Alligator mississippiensis: one gene and its partner. The protein of the gene in region 1 purifies or fractionates together with the protein of each later gene. This does not show direct contact. Links are inferred from orthologs where the notes say so. Each region holds a gene or a part of one and is shown on either strand. Other genes may lie near its edges.

Region 1 (11,830 bases):
CCCCCGCTCCAGCGCCGCCATGAGCAGCACGGCACGGCACGTAGGAATAAATCCCGGCCTCTCGCGAGACCGCGGGAGGGGCCGCGCATGCGCGGGGGGCGGGGCCGCCGGCAGCGGGGTCTGCGCATGTGCCCGGAGCTGCGGCCCAGGAGCCGGCGTCGGTGCGTGTGCGCCTGCGCCAGGCTGCGTTGAGGCGGGCGCGGGCCCAGGCGCGAGGCCCTGTGAGGTCGGGCCGGGATGGCCCGAGGCCGGCCTCCTGCCCGCCCCCCGGGGCAGGAGAAGGAGTCGCATGGCCGGCACTCAGGCTGGTGGCCTAAGTCTGGCCCCTCTATCCCTTGCTGCAGCTGCCCTGCGTCAGGGACACCCCCACAGCAGCCCTGCCCACACCCCCGCGACAGGCCGCTCCCACGGTAGTGACCACCACCACGCCACGTACAGTAAGCATTTATTTTGAGAAAAGTACATACTGCTTGGTAGTCCCGAGACACAAACGGACCGTTCCAAGGCTCGCTGGAGCTGGCCGGCGAGGGGGTCGCAGCAGCGCGCAGCACGGCACACCACGCTTGCCCTGTAATCGCTTATCGTACGCTATCTTCTCCCGCGGCTTATTCACAAGATACATCAGAACCAAGGCACGAGCACATGCCCGTACTGCTGCAGGAACTCATCTGGCTCTGAAGGGGGCAATGAAGGCATCTTTAAGGCATAAAGCTGCGAGTGGTGCTAATGTGCAGCTGGCTCGGTTCCCGCTAGTCGGGGCGTGCTCGCGCGCTACTCGGCAGCAGCAGTTTTTCTGCCAATTCGACCTTCTGTGGCGCGCTCCGGCGCTCGCATCCTGGCAGCTGTAACACGGCTACGTCGGAGGCTGCGTTGAGAAGAGACGAGGCCAGTTCTCACCGCTTCCCTGGGGAAAAGTCCACTACAGCAACTGAAGCAACTTGTTGGAAGCATTTTATTTGGGACCTGGAGTTCAAGGACTGTGCAGACAGGGGCTCTTCATCAGCCAGGCATCTCACTCCTACCAACAGTGAATGGCAGCTGAGCACCCAACTGCCTGGAGCTCTCGTGAAAAACTCAGGGCAGCTTTATGAGTTACAGACAACGGGCACAGATACTGCGCTAAAGTTTACTCTTAAAAAAAGCAGACTAGCAGAAGAACACAATTAAAATGGCACCCTCTTCCCACCCTTTGCTTAGTGAGGATCTAAGCAATGACTGCTAGGCAACTGCTTCCGCTTCTGAACTTCACGGCAGCTCGAGAGGCAAACTGCTGTGCAATCCAGCGAGTCCCCTGCCCGTGGAATGCACTTACGCAGACCTCCCAGAACACATTACCATAAAAGCAAAACACACGACAAGAAATGGCTCAGTTTCAATCCCTGCACTTAAAATACCAATCTCCCAGGCACGAGGGGAAAGAGAAGCATGTTGCTTGGTCTCAAAAAGAGTTCTGAAGAAAAACTTTCTTTGTTTCGTTCATTTATTTTTAACTTGGGATGGAAGAAGGGAGGTTTTTCACCCAGCATCTTCCTATTGAGAATTCCTTTTTCCTCTCTCAGACTAAGCTTCTCCAAAGATGTTCTGGGATGAGGCAAGTATTTCTTCCGTAATTCAGAGACGAGCCCTAAATCCCTCCACGACCACCAAAAATCTGCCTTCTGATGGAGGACTGAACAAATAACTTGACATTCCTATGGAACTGCTAAATTAAATATTAATAATTCAGCTTTCAGTTACTTAGGAAAAGAACTTGGAAGCGTGTATTTAAAAGTCTTCTGTGATTTAAAATACTGTTAGTCATTGGAACATTGAGGTTGCAGATACCAGGTTCGTTACAACACAAGAAACGCAGAAAGTATTACTAAACAACATTCTGTGCCAGTATCTGAACCTGCCTACAACAAGCAGCAGCCAGTCTTCCAGTCTGTATCCCAGCGATGTTAACCCAGCCACACACTGCTTGGTGAGTTAGCCATTTAAAAAATTAAACATATATCCTGGTATGTAAAAGACAGCTCTTCAAACCATCAACTAAATCGCAACCATTACACAAAAAAATAACCACTCATAAAATAAAGCCACCGATGAACTGGGAGTTAAGATAGATAAACTGCTATCTGCACAGGTAAGAGTTTTAACTGAAGCTGAGCTAGAAGCATGCTTTATTAGGGAAGACAAGCACAAAGGAGTATAGCTCATGGTTAAGCTGCCATTAATTGTTATTAAGACTGAGCAGCATTGCAAACCATTGCCATCAGAGGGGGATGTTTCAACAGCAGTGCTAAGAAAATAAATATATACACTGTGGAAGACAGAGAAAAATGAGGGTACCAGGAGACATGTGGAAGAACACCACGCAAAAGAAAGTGAGCTTTCCTGTAGGGTTGGTTCCAGATAGTTTAGTTTTTTAAAAATTCAAGAGCAAAGAGAGACAGTTATTCGGGAGCTTGAGGTCCACTGTCCGGCAGCTCCGCTATCCTCACCGCGGGAGATTCCGTGCTGATGGATAACAGCTCACGCAGCTCTTTGTTTTCAAGCTGCAAAATCAATATTTGGGCTGAAACAGAAATGAACTAACTCACAATTAAAGGACAAGAATGGTTAAGAAAGCCCTGTTGTCTAACAAATTTAAAACCTGACAGATTACTGATAGTGTAATGTAGGGGACAACCCAGCACTGGGAGGAGAGGAGCAAAACAATCTAAGGTCTCTCTCTTTTTATCTCTGGATTATTTGTATCACAAAAGACCTGTGGGTGCTTGAGAGAGGGATGGGTACTGTCCTACTGCTTCCACTTTTAAATCTTTTACTTTGGTGACAAAAGTACACAGACTGTGGGGGCCAAGGTTGGCCTCTCTCTCCTGCACTTTCTATTTCCGGAAAGCAGAGAGCATTTCAATATCAGACTAGGGGTCCCTCTGCACAAAACAGAATTTTCAAGTAAGTTCCAGGCTACCGATTCCTATGGAAATACTGAAATATCAACAGGAATTAGACAATTTGATACTGATCAGAGTTTGTATATATTCACTTACTCTATACAAACTTGACATTAGGTGCCACTTTCGGATTTTTCCTTAATAAGGGGTTTTACCATACCCCTGTGTGAGCACCAGGGATTCCCCTGAACCACTCAGGATCTCAAAACCTAGACAACTTGCTGTTAAGTGCATGTGAGCAGGCAACAGGCCCACTTACCCGAATTCCCAGCTATACAATGGTCTTACCTCCAACTGGGCTAGTTTTTCCTGAATTGTAAAGAACTGATCGTCATCCACTTGAACAGCTTTTCTCATCACTTCTCCCATCTCATAGATTCTGTCTATTTGACTCTCAATCTCCTGCAAACATAAAGCACAGGAGCCAATTATTCTCCTGTATTCAGTTACTGGTGAGGCCTCATCTGGAATATGCTGTTCAGTTTGGGGCATCACACTTTAATTTTTCTTAATCTCTGTGTTGTAGAGAGATTCCAGAGGAGGGCACTGAAACTTTGTTGTAAAACAAATGAAAGATTCACTAGTTAAATCAGTGCATGTGACACAGACCAAAGCATGGCCTTTCAAGTAGTGGCACTGGCAGCTTTTGGGAATTCAAAATAGAGATTCCTTAACCAATTCAACAGCCTGATGAATAGCAAGACTTTAAACTCTTTGTTATCATTTAATAACTGCCTTGAGGAATTATATGGTTTACAATGCATACAAACAACCCGAACACTGGTCACGACATGGAAACTGGGAGGCGTATGCATTCCTTTTTAAATGGTCGATGTTAAAATAATTATAAAGGTACGTGGATTTTTGTTGCTGCACGTGTGGAAAGAGAAGTTTCTATATGAGGGGCCATGGATGAAGGGATCAGTAGAGGTGCTCCTCGAACAGGATACAGAGGGAGTGTGCACATAAGGGACAACAGCACAGCATGGGGCCCCTGTTTTTTTAAAGAGCAAGTTTTATTCCCAACCCTGGGTGGAAACAAGTGACACAAACTGCCTGCCACCTCCCTGCCCCACCTCACCACGGACTGAGCCTGGTGCACTTTCAAGACTGGTTCAGCATCCTCATCTTTTCCTCCCCTTGTTAATTGTAACATCTGCTTCCTGTACTTGCTCATGATCAGTTCCAAAGCATCCTGGTGTTCCTCCAAGGAGATCCACAATTCTGCAACATACAAAACTAATGTTATGAAGAAATCATAACTGCTGCAGAAGGATTTATTTTGCCAGACACAGACTTAAGAAAGGCAAGTTGACAATTGATCTTCAGCGTCTTGCTTACTGATCACCTAGGGAGTTCATTTACAATGTGCAGTCTCAGTCTTCAGGCAACCCAATTTCCCTGAAACTAGAACCACACCTTTACCGGTACCTAGACACAATGAAAGCCGTGTGTTGCACGATGCTGCGACACGTGCGTACAGCCCCGCGCAAGCTGGGCAAGCGCTTAAGCGTGTCAGCATCGCCCCCTTCCTAAAGGTTAGGCGCCCAGGCCGGGGCCGGGGCAGCACACGACTCGCCTCTGTTTTCCTGCTGCAGGTCCCGGATTTGCGTGTTCTCTTGGGAGAGCAGGAGGTGCGGCTTGAGCTTAGACACATCTTTCACGTTGGCGGCCTCGTCGTGAGCCTGGCGAGACGGAGGGACGCGGTTACGGGGCAGGAGGACGGCCGGCGGCTCTGGCCCGCCTGCCACCGCCCGCACTCACCTGCTCGGCTCCCGCCGCCCCTGCCTGCCTCATGGCAGCCACGCGCCTGTGCAGGGCGGCCGACTGGTCGATGAGCGACTCGGCCGCGCTGTCGTGGTCGCGGAGCCGGTCCAGCAGCGTCCGCGCGTCCGTCAGGATCTTCTCGATCGTGCAGCTCATCGTGAGCGCGACCTGCGGGCAGTGAGCACAGGTGTGACCGCGCCGCTGGCCCCGCCCCGCCCCGCCCCCGCCCCGCCTCCTGCGCCACGCCGCGAGGCCGGCAGGGGGCAGACGCACGGAGCGGCGAGGCGCCCTCCGCCGCGCCGCCCCGCCCCGCCCCTCGCCCCCGCTCCCGGGGCGGCGCGGAGCGGAGCGGATGCCGGGCCCCGGGGGGGCGGGGGCCGTGCGCTGCACGCCGGGAAGGCGCCGCACTCACAGTCCGGCTCGGCCGCACCTCGCAGCCGCCGCCGGCCCGCAGGCGGCGCGTGCGCAGCTCAGACGGCGCCGCCGGGCCGAGGGCACCGCGCATGCGCCCGCGGCCCGGCGCCCTGGCGCGCAGGCGCAGTGGCGGCCCGGCGGGAGCGGGCCCCGGGCCTCGGGTCTGGGCCGCGGGGGAACGTGGGTGGCGGCGCCGGGGGCGCGTGGCCTGACGTCACGGAGCGAGGAGGACGCAGTAACAACGTCAGGGCAGCGGGGAGGGGGTGTCGGCTCCGCCCGCCCCGCCCCGCCCCGCCCCGCCGTGCTGGGTGCGCCCGCGGCCTTGATCCGCCGTGTGTGCGCTGTTTGCTCCGGGGTGGACATGGTGCCGGCCCCCCGCGCGCTCCTCACGTGGTCCCGGCCGCCCCCCGCGGCGCAGCCCGCTCGGCTCGAGGCGGCGCGGCCCCGTGGCTCGCTCGGCCGCTGCGGACACCCGCAGGCCGGCGTTGGGCTGCTTCGCCCTGCGCTGCGCGGAGCCGGAGCTGATGGTTGCAGGGGCCGGGGTGGGGTGGGCGCTGGGCTGGGGCTGGGGCGGGTGCAGATCAGTGCGAAGGATGAGGAGCGCGGTGCGGTGTGGGCTGTGGACGCGGGAGACGCGCGCAGGCGAGTTGGCAGGCGGCGCCGCCTGCCAGCAGGTGCGATGGGCGCGGGGAGCCCCGAGGGGTGCGGGACGGATCCCCACCCGCTGCGCACCTCCGGCTCGGCCGGGCATCCTCCGCGGCCTGGAGGGCGTGCTGGTGTGAGGTTGGGCCCCTAAGGCTTTTCCCCGTGGGTCCCTCCTGGCCCGCCGCACCTGCTGCTGTTCCCGCCCGGGCCCGGCCCAGCCCTGCTGCACCAGTGCGGGAGCTCCTGTCAGCGCCCCTCGGTACTCGTCTGCGCAGCAGGTGGAAGGGCAGAGGTGTCGTGGGCACGCAGATCAAAGTGCTGCCCGTTCCCCAGCGTGAGGAAGTAATCCTCGTTGAGCTCAAACACGCAGTATCTGAGGCTTAGGGCAGCTGAGTCCAAACATCTACAGCCGCTCGAGCTGTGTCCTGTGTACGGTAGATACAATTATAGGAACCAAGAAGCGTGTCCGTGCCAAGGCGTGCACGCACGAGTCCGCTACGGAGTAGGTCCAGCTGCGCAGCCGGAAGCCCATCAGTAGGGCTGCCGTGTTGCGGCGGGCACACCCCGAGTATCACGCACCGCCCGTCTGACTTGCCCCTTCGCTTGCAACGCTGGCTTCAGGCCCGTCGTCCTTCTGACGTTTGTCAGCCCTGGAGAAGGAGATGCCGAGGGAGGGCAGGGGAGCGCGTGCCTGGCTTACGCTTTTTTCAGGCAGTAAGGAATTCATCCAGAGGACTGTGACAGGCTGACACTCAGCAGCACAAGCAGCCAGCATCTGCGGGCTGGTTGGTGTTTTCTCACATGCTCTTTCCCCAGCAGACCTTTTAAAAAGGTGAATTTGTTAAATTAAGAAAACCCCAAAACGATGGAGCAAGCTGGTGTGGTACCACATCAGGGAACCGCATCCCAGACCCCTTGATTTGGAGGAATGGAGGCTCTAACTCCACAAATGCTTTACAAACAGCAGTAGCAAAGCTTAAGCCAAGTGATGAGCAATTTCTGTGCTGTGGTGTCTTCTTTCTAATTCCTTTGGCCTCTTATCACGTCAACCTTATATAAACTGAAGAGAATGTATAAAGTTGGCCTCTCAAATTTTTCAGTGTTTAACTTCAATTCGATTAAACACTTATGTATGTGTACAAAGTGAAAAATGAGGTTACGAGAGGTTAATGCTTTAATGCTTTTAATAACTCCTAACTACATGGCTGTAGTTTGTCAAATGCAACATGGATTTGTTTTAGCAGGAACAGCACATGCCAGATAGGAGCAAATCGCTATTTCCAAAAAGAGCAAGCTGTGACAGAGCAAAATGCTTCCAGGCTGTCTTGGAAAACTTTTAATGGAGTGATTCTGTACTGAAAAGTAGTGCAGTGTTTTTAAGTTAAACTACAATTAAACTATAAATATCTAGTAGCCAATACTTGAGTAGCTGCAGCTTTATTAATAAGTTCCAGATGGCTCTCTGCCAAAATTTCAGTAACTTACATGTGAAGAGCCAGTCATGTTGCAGTTTCATTGGTAGTATTCTTCACATAACCACTACCAATTAGCACCATCATTAGCACTCCCCACCTCTTGCCACTACAAGCTATAACACTGCTATGCACAACAGACAGAAATGCTGTGATGAGGATTACACCATCAGGAGATACTGCGGGAGGAAATGGATTTTGAAGTCGCTAAGAAATGCAGACCCATTGTTTATCTTCATTATCCAGTTCTGACAAATCTGGAAGAATTGCCATTGGCACCACATAGTTTATGAGTCTAGTATTGTTTTTACAATTAAAACAAATTTCTGTAAGATGGAATCCAGGCTGAAGGAAGAGAAAAACATTATCATTGATAAATGGATGAAATACACACCCAGCTATTTTAGTCTCCCAGCAGCTATGCTCCGTTCTTGATAACATGCTGACAGATGCATTCCACAATAATTATTTTGCAATGCCTAAGACAGGGTGTCAAAATACTCTGCCCCGTGAAGGCAGGTCTTTTTTGAAGTCACAGTAACAGTTCGGTGTTTTAAGGATTTTGGCACCAGAAACCTTACGTTTTGAATGCATTTACAATCACCATCAATTGAAACGTGATGAATATCTGATCAAGCACCAGTTAAGTCCTCTTGTTTTAATATTGCACGTGTGTGTCCGTGGACCATCATGCGCTACAATGTTTCAGGGACAAATCTTGGGTTCTGTGCTCAAGTCAGTTAATTTGAACCTGGTTCAGCGGCAGGGAGAAGGGAATGATCGTTCCCTACTACAGCATAGCTAGCCACTGAATGCAGCCTTAACCCCGAGGCTCTTCTGGCCCTCCCACCAATTGGTATAGAAGCGAGGTTTGACCAGTGGATCTACGTAGTCGTGGAACCACATGCTCTAGCACTCTCGGTTTGTTTTCTGAGGGCGACTCAAAATGGGGTGTGGAGTGTGGAAACTCGACAGAACTTCCTAGTATCCTACTCTAGCCACGCGCAATGCAGCTGCGTCGGTTTTGTTGCCTACCCCTCTGACCACGTTTCTAAGTAGCCACACCTTTACAGATGGTATAATGCCATTTCTAAGGCAGACTGCATCCTAGGCTGGGGCTTTCAAGGGGGCCGACAGAAGTTAGGCTCTCAAATCTCATTGAAATTCAGCAAGAGTTGGATGCCTAACTCTCTTAGGCGTCTGAAATTTCCAGTCCTAAGCCCCGAGAGCAAAGTGATACGATAGAAAGACTAAGAACCGCTTTCCATGACTGCAGGAAAACCACAGGTAGTGTTAGGGATAAATAGTTTAAGACCATCTTTGTTACAGGACTGAGGTATTTCCCCGCCACTTTACTCCAGGAAAACATTTGAGAACTTAATGAGAATTTATATCTCCCACTGGCTTATTTCTCTATTAATTTTACCAGGAGGATTTCTCATGTCTTTGACATAAAACAGAAGTGTCTTTATATTATCTAACACTAAACCAACTGAAATAAGCTTTGGAGAAGAATGAACACACTCTAATGCTAAACAGGAGCTGTTCACTGCATCTCATAGTTCATTCTTCCTGGGTCATAGTTGGGAAACAACCTTTATGAAATCTGCATACATCCCAGCTGAAAGGTGCTGCCTGGTGACATTTCTGTGGCTGAGGATCAATCTCTAATTTTTATCCTTAGGCTGCAACACAGGATCCTGTTTGCTGAAGAGCATTACTTTTTGATTTAACTATACATAAAGCTATATTCAGGGAAGGCTAACACTGCACAAGTAAGAGCTGACTAGTCAAGAAAATAATATGCAAAACTTGTTGCTTTAAGCTGCAGAAGTGAGTACTGGTGTAAAGTCTGCCAGAGGAGAGTATGGAATGAACTACTGCAAACAAAATCTATACCTTCACCCCAGACCTCAAAGCTCTGGATTACGATTCATCAAAAAAGAGGTAGAGCCTCGTTGTGGTAGGTGCTTTACAGATGCACGGTACAAGACAAGGCTGGCCCAAGATTACGCAAGTGTAACCAACGGAGAATTGGATCATAGGAAGCAAGGATGGGGTAACAGGAACATGAGTGTATTCCTCAAAGGTTTGCTTAGTGTGCCTAACCTTATTAAATCTATTAACAAGAAATGATAATAGAGAATGAAGATCCCCTTGACCATCTCTCCCCCTTCAGTAAAGACAGTATGTTTTTGTTTTTTCCTCTTTGCCTTCTCTGTAGTCGGTATCTTTATAGGGGGAAGTGACGTTGTGACACGAGCCATTATCATCTATCCTACATGCCCTAGGGCCTGAGTACATTATTGGTGCAGAACTGGGCCCCTAGTCACCGCCAGTGATTATACTGCAATCACCAAAATGCCATGAGTTGAGATCTTTTATTTCTTTAGGGATCAGACCGTTCTGTTATCCGGTTGGACAAGCCATAAGAAATAATAGTCTAGGGCCAGGCAATGTTTCTCCTTTTGTACACGTTACCATTTACGTGGGAGAGGCTTAAGATGAAAGGCAGTTTCTACTGAAGCACCTGCTACTCCTGTAAAACAAGGTAGAACGCTACAGAACAAATCTTAGATGAAGACAGTATTTAACTTTCTTTCACAAGTTTGCTTTGAACAGCCGTGCCTCTTGTCATGCCGTACAGAAAAACAGCTTTCCTATCACAAAATAGTCAAGGGTCTCCTGTTTTTTATCCCACATGTAACAAAAATTATAGCAGTGAAACTAGCAATAAGTTTCCCAAGGATTCCTAATTGTTTTGCTTTTATCATTAAATGATTTAGAGTAAAAGCCAAAGTATTGTGCATTAAAAAGGCAAATAATAGTGTCCAGACATTGTTGCTCCTGTGTAACAGATCTCAGATGGACTCTGAGGGAGCTAGCCAAAAGCAATAGATGACTCCATAATTTCTATTTTACTTTGCATGAAAAACAACAAAATGACCACAGTGACTCATAAGCAGAGTCCTAGTAGCTTTAGAATGGCTGTTACTTACTTAAGATTCTGCCCTTTGTTTAAATTGGGTTTGACAAGTACTTTATAAATGAGCAGGAGAGGTGGTTTATGTTTCATTAATGAGGCTGATAGTGGTTAATTACTGAAGTTGCATAAACAATCCAATACCAGATCAAGCAGGAAGGGTCAGTTACACAGAAAAGTTCCAGCTGGACCAGATATGATTTCTTTTAACTATGTGAATACCAAACCATTTACAGGCAAGATCTGCTAGGAGACGCAGGCCATAGGAACTGCGGTTCTGGTGGCAGCTTGACTTAAAACGTGATTCAGCTACAGCAATAGCCCGTAGCAGTTGTCTACAGAGCTTCCACTCTAGACCCTCGTGACACGTCTTAGACCTCCGCCCAGGACACGCTCTCGCACCAGAGGCTGTCCTGCCGAGGGGCCCGTTCCGATCTCAAGGTGCCGAAAGAGTATGTTGTGACAAAGAGAAGAGGGGCTTGCAGGTCAGACTGGGATCATGGTCACTGCTGATTGTCCCTGCGTGGGAGCGTACATATGTTTGCCATGCACAGCCGTTTGATATTACCAGATTCTGGCTCCTGATAGACACAACCTATTCTGTTAATCTTTGCCGTCGGAATGGATGACTGAGTGAGCCAATGCAAACCTGCCAAAATCAAGCAAAGCATGTTTACAGTATCTCGTGATTTCCTTTGCCACCTAAAATGACCTTAAACCAGGCTGCAGATCAAAAAAGGCTATCGCTCCTTTTCAGAGACAAGATATGCCTTATTGCTGAAAAATGTGATGTCAGTTTCAGCTGATTAGATGCTGTAAATAATTAGTGTGATTTGTTTATCCGAGTTGCTGTGCTGGGACTAACGCTCTCAAAACTGGCTATTTCTTGTAAATAATCAGTAAAAAATGGCAGTGTCAAAATAGGTGCCTAGTGATGGCGCCAAGCATTGTTACCGAATACCACTTTGAAAGTGACTTAAGCCCAGATTTTTTTAAGATATTTATCTGTTACTCAGCTGGGTGCTGCAAGGCATACATGATGGCCATGTCCCATTTCCCAAAAGGCACGTGGGCCCCAAGTTCCACTGAAAGTCACTGGGACTTAAGCTAAGTGATTTTTGTAACTAGGATTTACTTATCTAAATCAGTTAAGACTTTGCTACTCTAAGGCGAACAATGCAAAAGTAGCTTTAAAAATCTGAGGCTCAGATACATAAAGTCCCAGTGAAAGTTAAAAAGGATTTAGGCAGACCAGGTTCTTTGGTCGAATCTGATACCTTTTATTAGACCAACCCAAATAGTTGGGAAAAAATTGACTGATTGCCTTTCTTGTATGCATACCAGCCCAGCCCCTGGCTTCTTTACTTTTCATTCCATCCAGGAAGAGCACGCGCCAACTGCTGAAACTTCCTCCGCCTGACGAAAGGTTTTTAAACCCAAAAGCTCGCTTAAAAATTTTTTTCCCGACTATTTAAGTTGGTCTAATAAAAGATATCAGATTCACCCAAAGAACCGTGTCTGCCTATGCCCTTAGACCAACATGGCTAAAACCTACACCCCTGTAAAAAGGATTTAAGCACTCAAGTAACCTAAGCCTTTTTGAGAATTTA
Region 2 (12,035 bases), on another chromosome or scaffold:
GACTGACCCAGAAGGCCCCTTGCCCTCCTGTGTCCCAACATGCTGTGTGCAGTGGGGGTGCAGGACAGGGAGAGCTCTGCCTCGGCGCCTTGCCGAGACGAGGCCACCTGGCATACCCAGCGGCAGCTGTCGTTGGAAAGCAGCAGAGCTCGCAGCGCGGCCGTCCGGCCAGCTCAGATGCCCAATTATTTTTCAAGCTCGACGAGCGCAGAACGGGCACCGAGGCCCGTTCCCCAGGGTTACGTTCCTCTGGGGAAGAGTCATAGGGAAGTGGGGCTGGAAGGGAGCTTCAGGGATCATCTAGTCCCGAGGCAGGATCAGCCCTGTCCAAACCAGCCCGTATAAATCCGTCGTCCAACACGACACTGTTAATCCAGACTCGATTGACGCAGTCAGCCCTGACACCACACAGACATCGCACCCGAGCCTGCGGCGAGCAGTGTGCTCTCCATGCAGCGCACTCTCTATCACACGTGGGGGCAGATAGTCCTCCTGACGTGTTGTCCTCCTCTTTGTGCCCTTGAGCATCTACCCCCACTTGTTTAACGCTCCCTCCCCATTTCTGCCAGTGGGCGCTGGCTTCCTCATAGCCTGCACAGAGTAGATGACAGCGCAGCGCGGTAGGAGTCCTCAGCTCGTCGCTGTTTGGGGCCAGCCCGTTAGAAAGAACATCTTCCCCTTCATTAAAGTCCCAGCGCTCCTTTCTGCCACGAGAGCAAGTGGGTGCGCCCCCAGCGAGCTGTCAGAGCTGGGGGTGAACACTTCCCTCGTCCCGGTGAGCCCTGGAGAAGGATGTCCCCGGAGTCATGTCGGACACAACTCGCCCAGGCGCTGGTGCCGACCTGAGGGCTCCCAAACCCCCAAAATGATCGGAGTGAGGGGCGAGCGAGACCTGTCTGAGGCCGATAAGTCAAGAACCGCGCACGTTTTACGCCTCTGCGCTCACTGAAAGCTTCGTGTCTCACCTCTTTTCCCAGGTATTAAGCTCCCGCAGCCAGAAGAAGCGTAAGGAAGAAGAACTCACGTCTTTTCCCAACTACTGTACAGGACGAAACAGTACAAGCTTCCCAAGTCAGAGCTGGACTTGCTCACATAGTAGACAGTGTGTTAGGTTATTTATTTATTAAACTAGAATACTGTACATGCGGCCTCTGCCAATGGTGTTTTTTACTGCCATGGGACTGTGAGACGGTTGATTTTTTCTTTTTTTCTTTTCTTTTATTTTTGGTCAGGGCGGGGGGGGAGGTGGAGGAAGCAAGTCGGAGGCAAAAAGGAAGGCTGGTTGAGTGAATTCGCTGCAAAGTCTCTGTCAGCTTCAAGTAACCCGCGATCGCTGTCCCCACTGGCATACACAGGTGTGGAGGGAAGCGGGCGAGACGTTACTCTGGGTTCCCGTTTTCTGCGTGGAAGCAAAATCCACGGCAGTCGCAAGAACCAGGCCTCAGTGTGCAGGGCCGGTTGGGGGGCTCCGCTCTTTACTTCTCCCACCGTTTGAAACCCAAACTAGCACCGCCTCGTTGGCTCTCGCTCTTGCTGGAGGGGTGCTACCGTGTTCGTGCCTCTCCCGGCGGGTCCCCAGGGTAGCGCTCTCCTTTCATTCTGCTGGTCCGGCAAGGCGGCGGCTCTGACCACGAGCCCCAGTGCTGCCGGAAGCTGCAGTCCAGGGGTTCAGTCGACAGCCCGAGCTGGGGACGCCCCTGCCCAGAATCGGGAGCCAGCAAGGCAGAGACGAGCCCGCTCTCAAGCAGTCCCTCTAGGGTTCCCGTCCATGGAGCACAAGACCCACCGATGCACCTGCTCAGCCGCTTTGCGGTACTTCTCTGCGGCTTACGACCAGTGCCACACTTCCACCAAAGGGATCTCCCTCCTGGACTGCGGCGTGGGGCCTCGAGCTGTCTCGTGGGAGAGCCTTGCTGCTCTGTTGACAAGCGCCGCCTCCATCTCGGGGTCAACCTTGGGGACGACACCCCCTGGGCGCAGTCTTCTCGCTGCCGTGGAGGGAGGCGGCAACGTTGATCGTGTCCAAGGACTGTTCTTGATGCTACGGATCCTTCTCCAGTCGGTATTTCAGCCCTCGCCTGGAGTCCTTGCCGTGTACAGCGACACCCGTTTAACAGAAACGCTTCCCAGACTCCCAGCGCTGGATCTGCCAGCGCCTTCTTTCCATAGTTCATCGCTGAACGAATTCTGGAAAACCTTTTTTGGTTATGAGAGCACCAAGCCCCAGCGCAATTACTACGCTACGGTCTCTGGCTTGAGGATTAGGTTTTCAGCTCAGAATCGCTGTCGTGTTTATGAGACATCGAGTCTCGAGGTGGGAGGGTCATGGAAGACAAGGCTGCCATCATCGCTTGTTCTGGCAGAGATGTCCCGCCTGGATAGTACGTACGATGCACCCAGACGCACGCCCCGCAAGATCACTGTTCGAATGGCCGTGTCTCATCGTACCGATCATCCTGAGAACATTGTTCCTCGTATCAGAACTGCAAGAACTTCAGCCGGCGCTTGCCAAACCTCCACGAGAAGCACTGACCTGAGCACCCAGGCCTTTATTCGTTGCTCTCCACCATGGTATCTGAGCCTCTCATCAGAGGAAGCTCTCTGGATCCTCAGCCTTCCTGAAAGAGGTTTCTGTGGTATTTTCTTTACACACTAAACCCCCCCAATGAACTGTGGTCTTACCTGCAGGGTGTAGGACTGTCGCCCCTAGAGATGACGACTGCTTCCTAGGCTGGCTCATCCCGCATCAGGATTGCTCCCTACAGCAAACTTGCCTCTCTTGCTTTTCAGTAAAACCTCAAAAAACCCACATGATGGAGCTTTCCTTCTAACGTGCTGTCGGAAACCCTCGGCAGCCACGTGTCAGGGACTCACGGCAGAATGATCAGCGATCGGGACGTTCCCTGAATCTTCTCTTCTTGGCAAATTATACTTGGATCGTAACATTTTTAGAAAGAGATCACCTGAAGTGTTTTCCTAAGGCAGGTTGGCCATATTCCATCACACCGGTCGAGTTGTCCAGTCTATAAGGACCTGACTTCGTTACAAGACTCATCCATTTGGTGTGTTTGCAAACGTGGGCTGAAATCTCGGTCCCCCGGGCCATCAGGGGCAGGCCTTCTGTTGACTCCATGGGAGCCAGGATTTCACCCTTAGGCTGCATGCTTTGGGGGGCAAAAGACCTGTGTTGCTCTTCAAGATCCTGGCATGTAGCGGCTGCCCGAGCGGCCAAGGAGGAAGGGACAGACCTAGAAGGGGAGCATGTCCCGGCAGTGCAACACACTGGTCGCAGCGCAGTATCCTGATAGCCAGGGACCGGGGAACACGCAACTCACATCCGATGTAGCTTAGACCGTGGTCTTGTCTCGGGTCTGACGGCACATCCATACATCCAACATGGCCACCTGCTCTTTATCTCACAGGGCTACGTCGGGCATGTGACACTGCTTGTTCAATGGGTGTTGGTTTTCGGCCCCGGTCTGCCTCTGCTCTGCAGGTCAACTTCTCACCGCTCGGGCCCGGGGTCAGTTAAGGAGCAATACGGTATTTCTGCAGCGACCGTTGCCCGCTGCCTCAGCCTCCCCAGGTGGGTGTCACGGCGCTGGTGTGAAATCCCGGCCTTGGCTAGCAACGGCTGACGCTGCTCTTCTCCCAGCACGCTCTCATCTGTGTTGGGCACGCATGTCCCAAACTGGGATAAAGACTGAGGCCCTTGGCTATACGGCAGCATGGCTGGCAGGGTTTGGGGCTGGCAGTGCATCTCACGTGGCCTGGAGCCCAGGGCACCCCACGGCCTGGCTCGTCAGCAGTCTCCCGTTGTGGGCAGCGGGCATCTGCTGTGCTGGCCGCACTTGGCACCAACTGAGCATGTGGCAACAGCTGATCTCCCCGAGAGCTGGTCTTTCACACCAGCGCGGCGGGACCGCCAGCCACCCACTACCTTATTCGTGGCACTGGGGACGCCGGCCAGCCATGTCATCTCTGGAGCGGAGCCGTGGGGGAGGGCAGCTGTGGGTCGCATCGGTCACGGCGGGAGAAGTAGGGTCCAAAGCCAGGCTGGTTCTGCCCCGGGGGAGACAGTGGTCCCATCCCCGCAGCTGAGGACAGTCGCTTCCCTGGTCCACGTCCGTCGGTAGTGTGGCCCGTGGTGGGGCTGTCCTCCCCGGAGAGCCTGTGCTGATTTTAAACCTATTTTATCTTCTGTGTAGATACAAGAAGGAAAAAATTAATGAATTAATAATGACACCAAATACTCCTAAATGACTTCTTTCCCCTTGAATCTTTTAAAAAGCTTTCTCTATGTGACTCCGCTTTTCCATAAGCTTTTCCGCTTGCTTGGCTTCGGATCAATCTGGGATCCTCCTCTCAGAGTTGTCCCCGGGGGGTTTCTTTGGGTTTCTTTTCTTTTTTTTTTAATGTAACAAATTCAAAAAGAAAAAAAAAGAGGGGGGGAAAGGAGAGCGGAGACACCAGCACGATGATCTGAGGAGGAGCATTCGGTTGTTGAACTTTAGAAACCAGGACAAAAATGAAATAATCTGTCACATCTACAGTCGGTGACGACATTGCGAAGCGTAACCTTTTCAAACGGATGTTTTAAATATTCATGTCTGAGTGATTGTATTAGAGCAGCAATAAAGACTCTGTAATCTCAAAACGCCAATAAAGCGTCGGAAAAGTGGCTGGTGCCTGGGCTGTGTTCACCGTGCACAGACAGCGGTGGGACCGTGGCCGGTGTCTGCCCCGGGCAGTCGAGCGCTAAAGAGGAGCCAAAAACCAGGGCTGAGAGGTGGGAACGGCAAGGGCCGCGCGGTCCCGGGGCAGCCGGACGTCACATCTGAGTCAACCCTGGGGCATGACGAGACTCCAGCCCCGCTCCCCTCGTCCCCTGTCCGGGCAGGGGGAGCAGAGCTGACTGTCTTGGCAGTTCCCGTGTCGGGGTGGCGGCTCCGTGTCCCCCTGGCAGGTTCTCACTTTCTCTGACCTGAGTGCCTCTCCCCATCCAGGCCCGGCACTGGGGGCACGTGGGACTGGGGGGCGGAAGGGAACCTAATGAGCAGTGACTTGGCAGCAATCTGTGCCGCCCGGGGCGCTGGCAGCCTTGGCTGCGGCCTGGGGGATCCTTTGCTGGGGAGTCTCCTGCCCCGGCCTGGCCAGGCTGGAAGGAGATGTCTCGTTTGACACAGGCCTGGCTTTTCCTGAGTTTCACCCGGATCGGCACGGCCATCTACACCCCTAGCCGTGCTGCTGCTCCTCCGCCAGCAGGGGGAGGGAGCGTGCAGCCTGGCCAGCAGTTGGGGCTGGGGACTGGGGAGGCCACCCTGCAGCGCAGTGCCGCGAGTGACACGAGCAGCGTCTGCGCGGCACGCGGGAGGTGAGGGAGGGACCACAGAGATCAGCGGCCAAAAAGGTTGCCCTTCCTCCCTCCACCCCCTCTATTAGGGACTGACCCGGGACAGCCCAGCTCCATCCCGGGGAAGCATTAGCGCCTTTTATTCTGGGCAGGGGAGGGACCAGACGCCTCTGCCCATAGGGTTGCGGGACCAGAGGCAGCTCCTGGCTCCAGCCCCGTGGGGGCAACTGGAAACCGTGCCCAATACCAGTGTGCCCTTCCCCGGCCCTGCCTGGACAGTCCCGTTCACCGCTCCTGTCCGCAGGGGGGCAGCGAGGGCAGCTGGAGGAGGAGGAGGAAGCACCAGCGGGGATGCCCCGAGCCCCCCAGTGATGCAGGAGTGGGGGGTCTGCGCGGGTGCGGTGGCACTGTGGGCTGGTGCTGGGGACCAGGCGTGGAGGGAGGTGGCAGGGAGGAGCCCGGGGTCCCTGGGCCTGGACCCAGCGCCTCGCCCCGCGCCTCCACGTGCCCTTCGCACCCCGCCCCTCCCCTGGCAGCCAATCGCCGCCAGGGGGGCGAGTCGCAGCCAGCCAATGGGCGCGCGGCGGGGCGCGGCGAAACCACGCGTTCCACTGCCCCGCCCCGTCCAGCGGCGCGGCCAACGGGCGCCCGGGGGTGTGTCCCCGCGGAGCCGCCCCCCGGCCAATGAGCGCGCGGGGGCGTGGCGGGGCCGCGGGAGCCGCCCCACGTGCGCGGCGGGCGCAGAGCGGCGCGGACACATGGAGGAGGCGGCGCCCGCCCGCGCCCACGGCCGGGACCTGCTCCGCGCCCCGCGCGCCGGCTCCCAGGTGGGTGCTATGCAACCTCCCCTGCCGTCGGGGGGAGAGAGCCGGGCCCCTCTTTCCGTGGGCTCTGGACCGGCTGCAAAGAGGGCAGGGGAGGGCAGGGGAGGAAGCGTGCTGAAGTCTCGGGACAGGAGCCGGGTGCGCGGCGCAGCCCGGCTGTGGCTGCGGGCTAACGAGGCCGCTGGATCAGTCTGGAGGCTGCCGGAGCGTGGGCTGGGAGGTCGCGTCCAGTCCAGCGCCCTGCCTGAGACAGGGTCAGCCCCGTCCAAACCCTCCTGTGCAAAGCACGATCCCCAACCAGAAGCAGAAAAGGGATTTGCTCGGGTCTGGGGTCTCTTGTTGGAAAGGCGAGGGCGGGCTGGGCGCCGCGTGCTTCACGCCGCTCGTTTAAAATATAGCCGGTACAGCAAGTCGTTGCCCCGGCTATAACAGTTCTCCGGCCGTGTTCGTGGCTCCAGATTCACGCCGCCGGGATTCCCATCCTAGCTTGAATCCCCCCCAGGAGCGACCGCAGGGTTTTGCTGGCAGCGGGTCCAGCCTGGCTCCTCGCTTCTGACCGCGCAAGTTGTTCACCCGCTTCACAGCCCTTTCCGTCCTGGCTCGGGCGGGCGAGCCTCCGATACAGCCCGTGGCGGTCGGCTTGTCACTAAAAGTCTGAATGCGAGTGGTTACGTGGTTACAATCGCACTTGGCGTTGGGGTAGGAGTGGGGGGAGGCGACTGAGGCTACATTTCACGAGCCAACTCTGCTCAAAAGCCTCCTCAGGCCAACGCAGATGCTCGCCGGGCCCGGAAACGGCAAGGCAAAGCCCGCAAGAGGGGTGCCGGGGACGTGATCGTTGTGAATAGCGGCAGTGTTAGTTCTTCCTCCGGGTGCCGGGTCCTCGTTAATGCAGTGCCTCGGCGTGGTGACCTTGGACCTCTTCTTGCTGTGCCGGTGATAACGGCTATCACTGCTATTCGAGTGCGACTGATACTGGACATCAGTTTCTGCATGTAGGGATCAGGAAACAGGTGGGGGTCCACGTTGCCTCCTCTGTCGGCCGAGGGGCGCAATCACGTTCTGTTGCTCGTTCTGCACCCTTCGTAGCACGGTGCCAGGCTCGCCTGTCACAGGCCGTACCCTCCCAGGACATTAGGCACGTCTACACGTGCACTTTACTGCATAGTAGATTGTTTTACTGCGCATTAAAGCATCACATAAACACTGTGACGTTATGCTAATAGCCTACTGCGCATTAAGTGTCACTAAAAAAAGCATGCAAACGTGCTCCTGCGTATTAGCACAGCCGAACATGCGTTCATGTAGCCCTGCACCTTGGAGGTACTAATTTACTGCACATGAGGAAAGGCGCATTAATGCAAGTGTAGACGCACCCATTAAGTTTAGCCTGGCAGACTGCATGTGCCGCTTAATGCAGTCCCGTGTTTTTCAGTTCTTCTCAACTCTGAATAATTTTTTGGTTCCCTTCGGCTGCTATTTGTGCTGCCTCGTGTCCTCTAGCGGGTCGCGTGCACATGCTCACGTTGCCTTCCTGCACTTGTTTCTTCAGATCCTTTGCAAAAGGTTCATGCCCCAGTTCCTTGATTTGGCCGGCAGAGTTTCCACAGGGTAGAGACCTACTTGCAGCCTGAGCAGCTGTGTTCTGCAGAGGCGAAACGATAGCCTCGGGACACTGTAGCATGGGTGGGGAAAATACCCAATGGCTGGTATTCGACTAGCAGGTGCAAATCTACCTGACTTCAGACTAGCACAGCTGCCTGCCTCTCCCTGGTACGACACCTACACGGTGCATCGTCACTGCGGGGCCCGGGAAATACGGGAGATGTCTGTGGACAGCCACTGCAACATGGCTGGAAACGGAGGGAGAGTAAAGTCACGGCTCGGTAGCGAGGAGGGAAACGGGAGGACACCGTGCCTGGTTGTGACCCTTGTTAACGACTGGCTCTTGCATTTTGTATTGTGATTTCAGGAATCTTCCCCAGCTCGCGTGCCCTCGTACGCTTGTATCTACTAATATTTTCAATTAAAAAAAAAAAGACAGACAAAAAAACCCTTTAGTGCTAGGTTTTCTGTCTGCACGTGCCCTGAGCGGTCCCTTGTGCTGCCAGTCGCCCCTCCGCAGGGTTCCTCATGGAGCATAACACACCAGCCTTAATTTAGGAAAGCATCCCAAGTATTTGTATCTGCATCTATAGATAGGTGGGTCTTCTCTGGTGGTGGAAGTGCGGGCAGGCAGGCGTTCAGGCACCACCTTGGGTGGCATTTGTAGCATGGTTCAGAGCATTGTCGGATGCGTAAAAGAAAGAAAAGTCCCTTTTAAAAAAGCTTTTAAAACTTTTTTCTTTAAAAAACGTCTCTCTCTAAACAGAGCTAACTACCGCTTCCTTGTAAAGAGCCAGGCTCTCGGACAGGTTGGAGCAGCCCGGGATGCCCACGTGCCACTATTAAATGTAGGAGTTGCAGTCTGGAACCGCTGGGTCCTTGTTTGGGTGATAGCAACACCCAAGTGGCTTTGGAAACGCGATCAAAATAGCCTTTCCGACCAGGCGGTGTATGGTAAATGGTCTGCACGCGTTCCCTGCCCCGGCCCTAGAGAAGAGCTCCCGTCTGCTGGGGTGATTGCTCCCTGGGGCCAAGGTTTGATCAACTTTCATGGATGCTGCAAAAGTCAAACGGGGAGATCCATCCTGATGTAGCCTTAGCATCCTCTCTCGACTCTCCTGGCCTCGTTCTTGGGACATCCCTGGCTGCTCAGTTTGACACGCGCATCGATTAGCAGAATCGTGATCGCTCCAGTTCCTCTGGATGGGAAACGGGCCCTGACGCTGCATTAACAAAGACTCTTTCTGCCGCAGGGTTCAGTGGACTACCCCAGCCTGGAGTTCGAGTATGGGGACACCGACGGCTACACGGCTGAACTGTCAGGTAAAGAGGCACGCGGGGAGCCGAGGCTTTTGCTGCGCACGAGTTCAACTTCGCTATTAATAGCTGCCTGCTGGGTAGACAGCGAGGCTGGGGTTGGTGGGAGATGCATATTTAATAATATCATCCTATATTAATAGAGCGCCACTCACCCCAGAGGATTGCAGAGTGCTCTGCAAACCACGCGCAGCAGAAGTGACTTCCTCCCCCGCTGAAACGCAGCCATTCGCGGGGCGGGACAGGAGAGCTGCGAACGGTGCCGCTGGTTTGGGTGGGAAGTGAAATGCGTGAGGCGTGAGGGCCTTGTAGCCAAGTTGCTGGAGATATTTGAATGCCCTGATGTCACGTCGGCAGTGGCTTGTGGTGTGCGGGGCCCTCCTCTTCCACCCCTCCCTGACCAACCTGGATTCATCCATGTCTGAGTTCACTAATCATTAGAGCACATGCACGTGCACATACACATACACGTGCGCATGGCACCTGTGGTGTCTTGAATAGTGCAAGGCGTCTGGGAAGGATTCGGGCAAGAGAAATCGGCCTCTTCCCCGATCCCCTCTCTCCTGTATGCGAAGAGCTCACATTGGTAATGTAGTTTCGTGCCAGTCTGTTACGTGCTTTGCAGCTGGAACAGGGCTGGGATCTCTGCTGGGGCTCACGCTGACGGCCGATAGTCCAGCTTTCCTCGGTTAGCAATGCGTGGGCGACGCGTGCTCTTGGCCGCGGTGGAGGGCTGAAACGGGCACTTCCAGACCCAAGCGCCAGCACAGTTACCGCTTGCAAAACTCCAGGTTCAGCAGCTGGGGGATGCAAGTGCTTGTATCCTCTCCGTAGCAGCAGAGAGAGGGCTCGTAGCATCCGCTCATCAGTGCTTTCCCCAGGCATCAGCACTCAGGGGACCGAGACGCCCATCCAGTAACCAGACGCTGCTTCATTAAACCACATCGCTACCCTTCTGCAGCAAAGATCCCTCTCTTGCTGATGCTAGATTGCAGTTCAGGTGGTCGAAAGCTCTTGGAGCAGGATCATCGGGGACATGGTCCCACGTCACAGTGAGGTCGGGCCTTTCTCTACTTTGTGTCTGCTGCTCTAGTGAAAATGCAGCCTGTGGATGTGTGGGCTCAGGCCCAGGCAGTGAAAGGCTGGGGCATCCCCTAACATCCCTGAATCTAAGGGCTCCACCATTTTTGGAGGAAAATAACAGCAAGAGAGCAGGGAACCCAAAGCACGTTCGCTGCTGTTGCATGTACGGCAGAGCATATTTGCGGCTGCTGCGCGTACAGCAGAGTCTGCGGAGATTTCGGTACGCTGGGGTGTTTCTCCTGCTTTCCAAAGCTTCGGCCTCCAGACCAGGAGGATGCCGGCGGAGGGTGCTGCACTGTCAGGCGTGCCTGTACAGCAAAAGGCAAGGTTGGCGGCAACAGCTTGGGCTTTCCCCTATGCTAGCAAGCAGAGACCCAACTCCGAGAGGCTGGCTATGTGTTCAGGTCACTACTGCCCGAGAGACCCTGTGTCACTGCGTCTCCCCTGCTGCCGATACCTCTGCTGCAGTCGCCCCTTTGCTTTGCTGGCAAACTTCCCAGCTCCTTTGCAGAGGCTGCTGTACGGCCATCAGAGAGCAACAGCTTTTTGGGACGGGCTGAGAAGTGCCAGGCTTCCTTCCTTCCTCATTCCTGGACTGCCTGTTGCTGTTGATTGGGGTTTATCGTAGCTGCGCCCGAGCTGAGCTGCCAGCGGCATGCGGTGCTCCTGTCATGAGACGGTGCCCGCGCCCGGAGCGTCAGCGTTTCATGTCTGTGTTTCACTCGCTGGCTCGATCGTCACCCCCACGCGCCAAGTCCGGCTGGCGGGCTCGAGCAGCGCGCTTGGGTGGGGTGACTGGTGATTAGCAGGAGGAGGGAGCGGTTTGCTAGTTGTGAGGTCACTTTTGCTCGGGAAACGCTGAATGTTGTGGTCAGGCCGTTGTAGTCAGGATAAGCTGGGGCTGGGGAAGTTGAACGGTAGGTCATGCCCGCTGTTCCTGTGCCTCGTGGCTGTTTCTCCTGGGCACGAGTCAGGAAGCCTTGAGCACGCTCTGAGCTGCGAGCTATAACGGGGTCGCTATTTCGAGCTCCCCACATGCAAGTGTAAGCTGTGTTGGCCGGTGGTATATGTAGCACATTGTAGTTAAAGAGCTGTGCTTCCACCGCTGGGGCCAGAAGAAAATAGCTCCCCCTTTCCGTCCTCTCCTGGCTCTCAAACACGCAGTAAATCAGTTTTAAATAACCTCCTTGGAGCTGTCTCCGTGCCAGGCCTGTCTCTGTTTCTTTTTCCCCCGTGGTGTTGTCCAGCTATTTAAATGGGTGAGGCACCCAGATCGCTTTTGGAAGCTGCGAAATACCATCCTGCAGCATCACCACTCGATGCAGAAAGAAGATCAGGTCGGGAGGTGCCAGCGCACGCCTAAAGCAAGTCCCTGAGGATGGGGGGGAGGAAGGGCTGCCCGGGTACGTGCCAGCGTTGTGGATGATAAATGGAAGCACCTGCCGCCTGGATTTTGTATCGGGCGTGTTTTTAGAAGGACCCACCCGCCCCGAATCCGGAGACTATGAAATCTGCCAGGAAAAAGTGACACGAGGCTTCCCAGAAAGGGAGGCTGTGAAGCCACATGGCCTCCGCCCTCGCCCCGGTGGTTACTTGCTTATTGCAACTTGTCCTGGCTCAGGCTGCCAGCTCTTCGGTGCAGGGGTTTCCTCTTCCCCTGCGTCAGTCTAGACGAGTCGCGTTCATGCTGTGCTGGACGGGGCTGGGAGAGGTCCCAGAGGGCAGTCCCCTGCCCTCACTGACACCGGCATCATATGATCCTTGCATAAACTGATTGTGCGCTCCCTTGAAACCAGTTAGGTTTGGGGCTGCTCCACCGTTTCTGTGGAGCTTAGCTTAAAAAAGAAAAAAAA

The links.
Region 2: the proteins of SIKE1 (region 1) and STRIP2 purify together in Homo sapiens (affinity purification with mass spectrometry; 3 studies listed by BioGRID and IntAct, with this or other methods). This does not show direct contact. The link is inferred for Alligator mississippiensis from reciprocal best matches to the Homo sapiens genes SIKE1 and STRIP2.

Annotation. Positions count from the first base shown.
Region 1 is NC_081837.1:45,647,783-45,659,612, forward strand, and holds SIKE1 (suppressor of IKBKE 1), read right to left. Parts: upstream 5,220-11,830; 5' UTR 5,212-5,219; coding exon 5,119-5,211; intron 4,894-5,118; exon of another isoform or gene 4,875-4,893; coding exon 4,704-4,874; intron 4,625-4,703; coding exon 4,519-4,624; intron 4,164-4,518; coding exon 4,021-4,163; intron 3,342-4,020; coding exon 3,228-3,341; intron 2,558-3,227; coding exon of another isoform or gene 2,546-2,557; exon of another isoform or gene 2,538-2,545; coding exon 2,436-2,537; 3' UTR 1,019-2,435; coding exon of another isoform or gene 1,013-1,018; 3' UTR 429-1,012; downstream 1-428.
Region 2 is NC_081827.1:5,104,521-5,116,555, forward strand, and holds the start of STRIP2 (striatin-interacting protein 2), read left to right. Parts: upstream 1-6,082; 5' UTR 6,083-6,111; coding exon 6,112-6,180; intron 6,181-9,035; coding exon 9,036-9,105; intron 9,106-12,035. Other genes in the region: AHCYL2 (adenosylhomocysteinase 3), read left to right, coding at 978-984. UniProt on the Homo sapiens protein: Plays a role in the regulation of cell morphology and cytoskeletal organization. Required in the control of cell shape. Calmodulin-binding scaffolding protein which is the center of the striatin-interacting phosphatase and kinase (STRIPAK) complexes.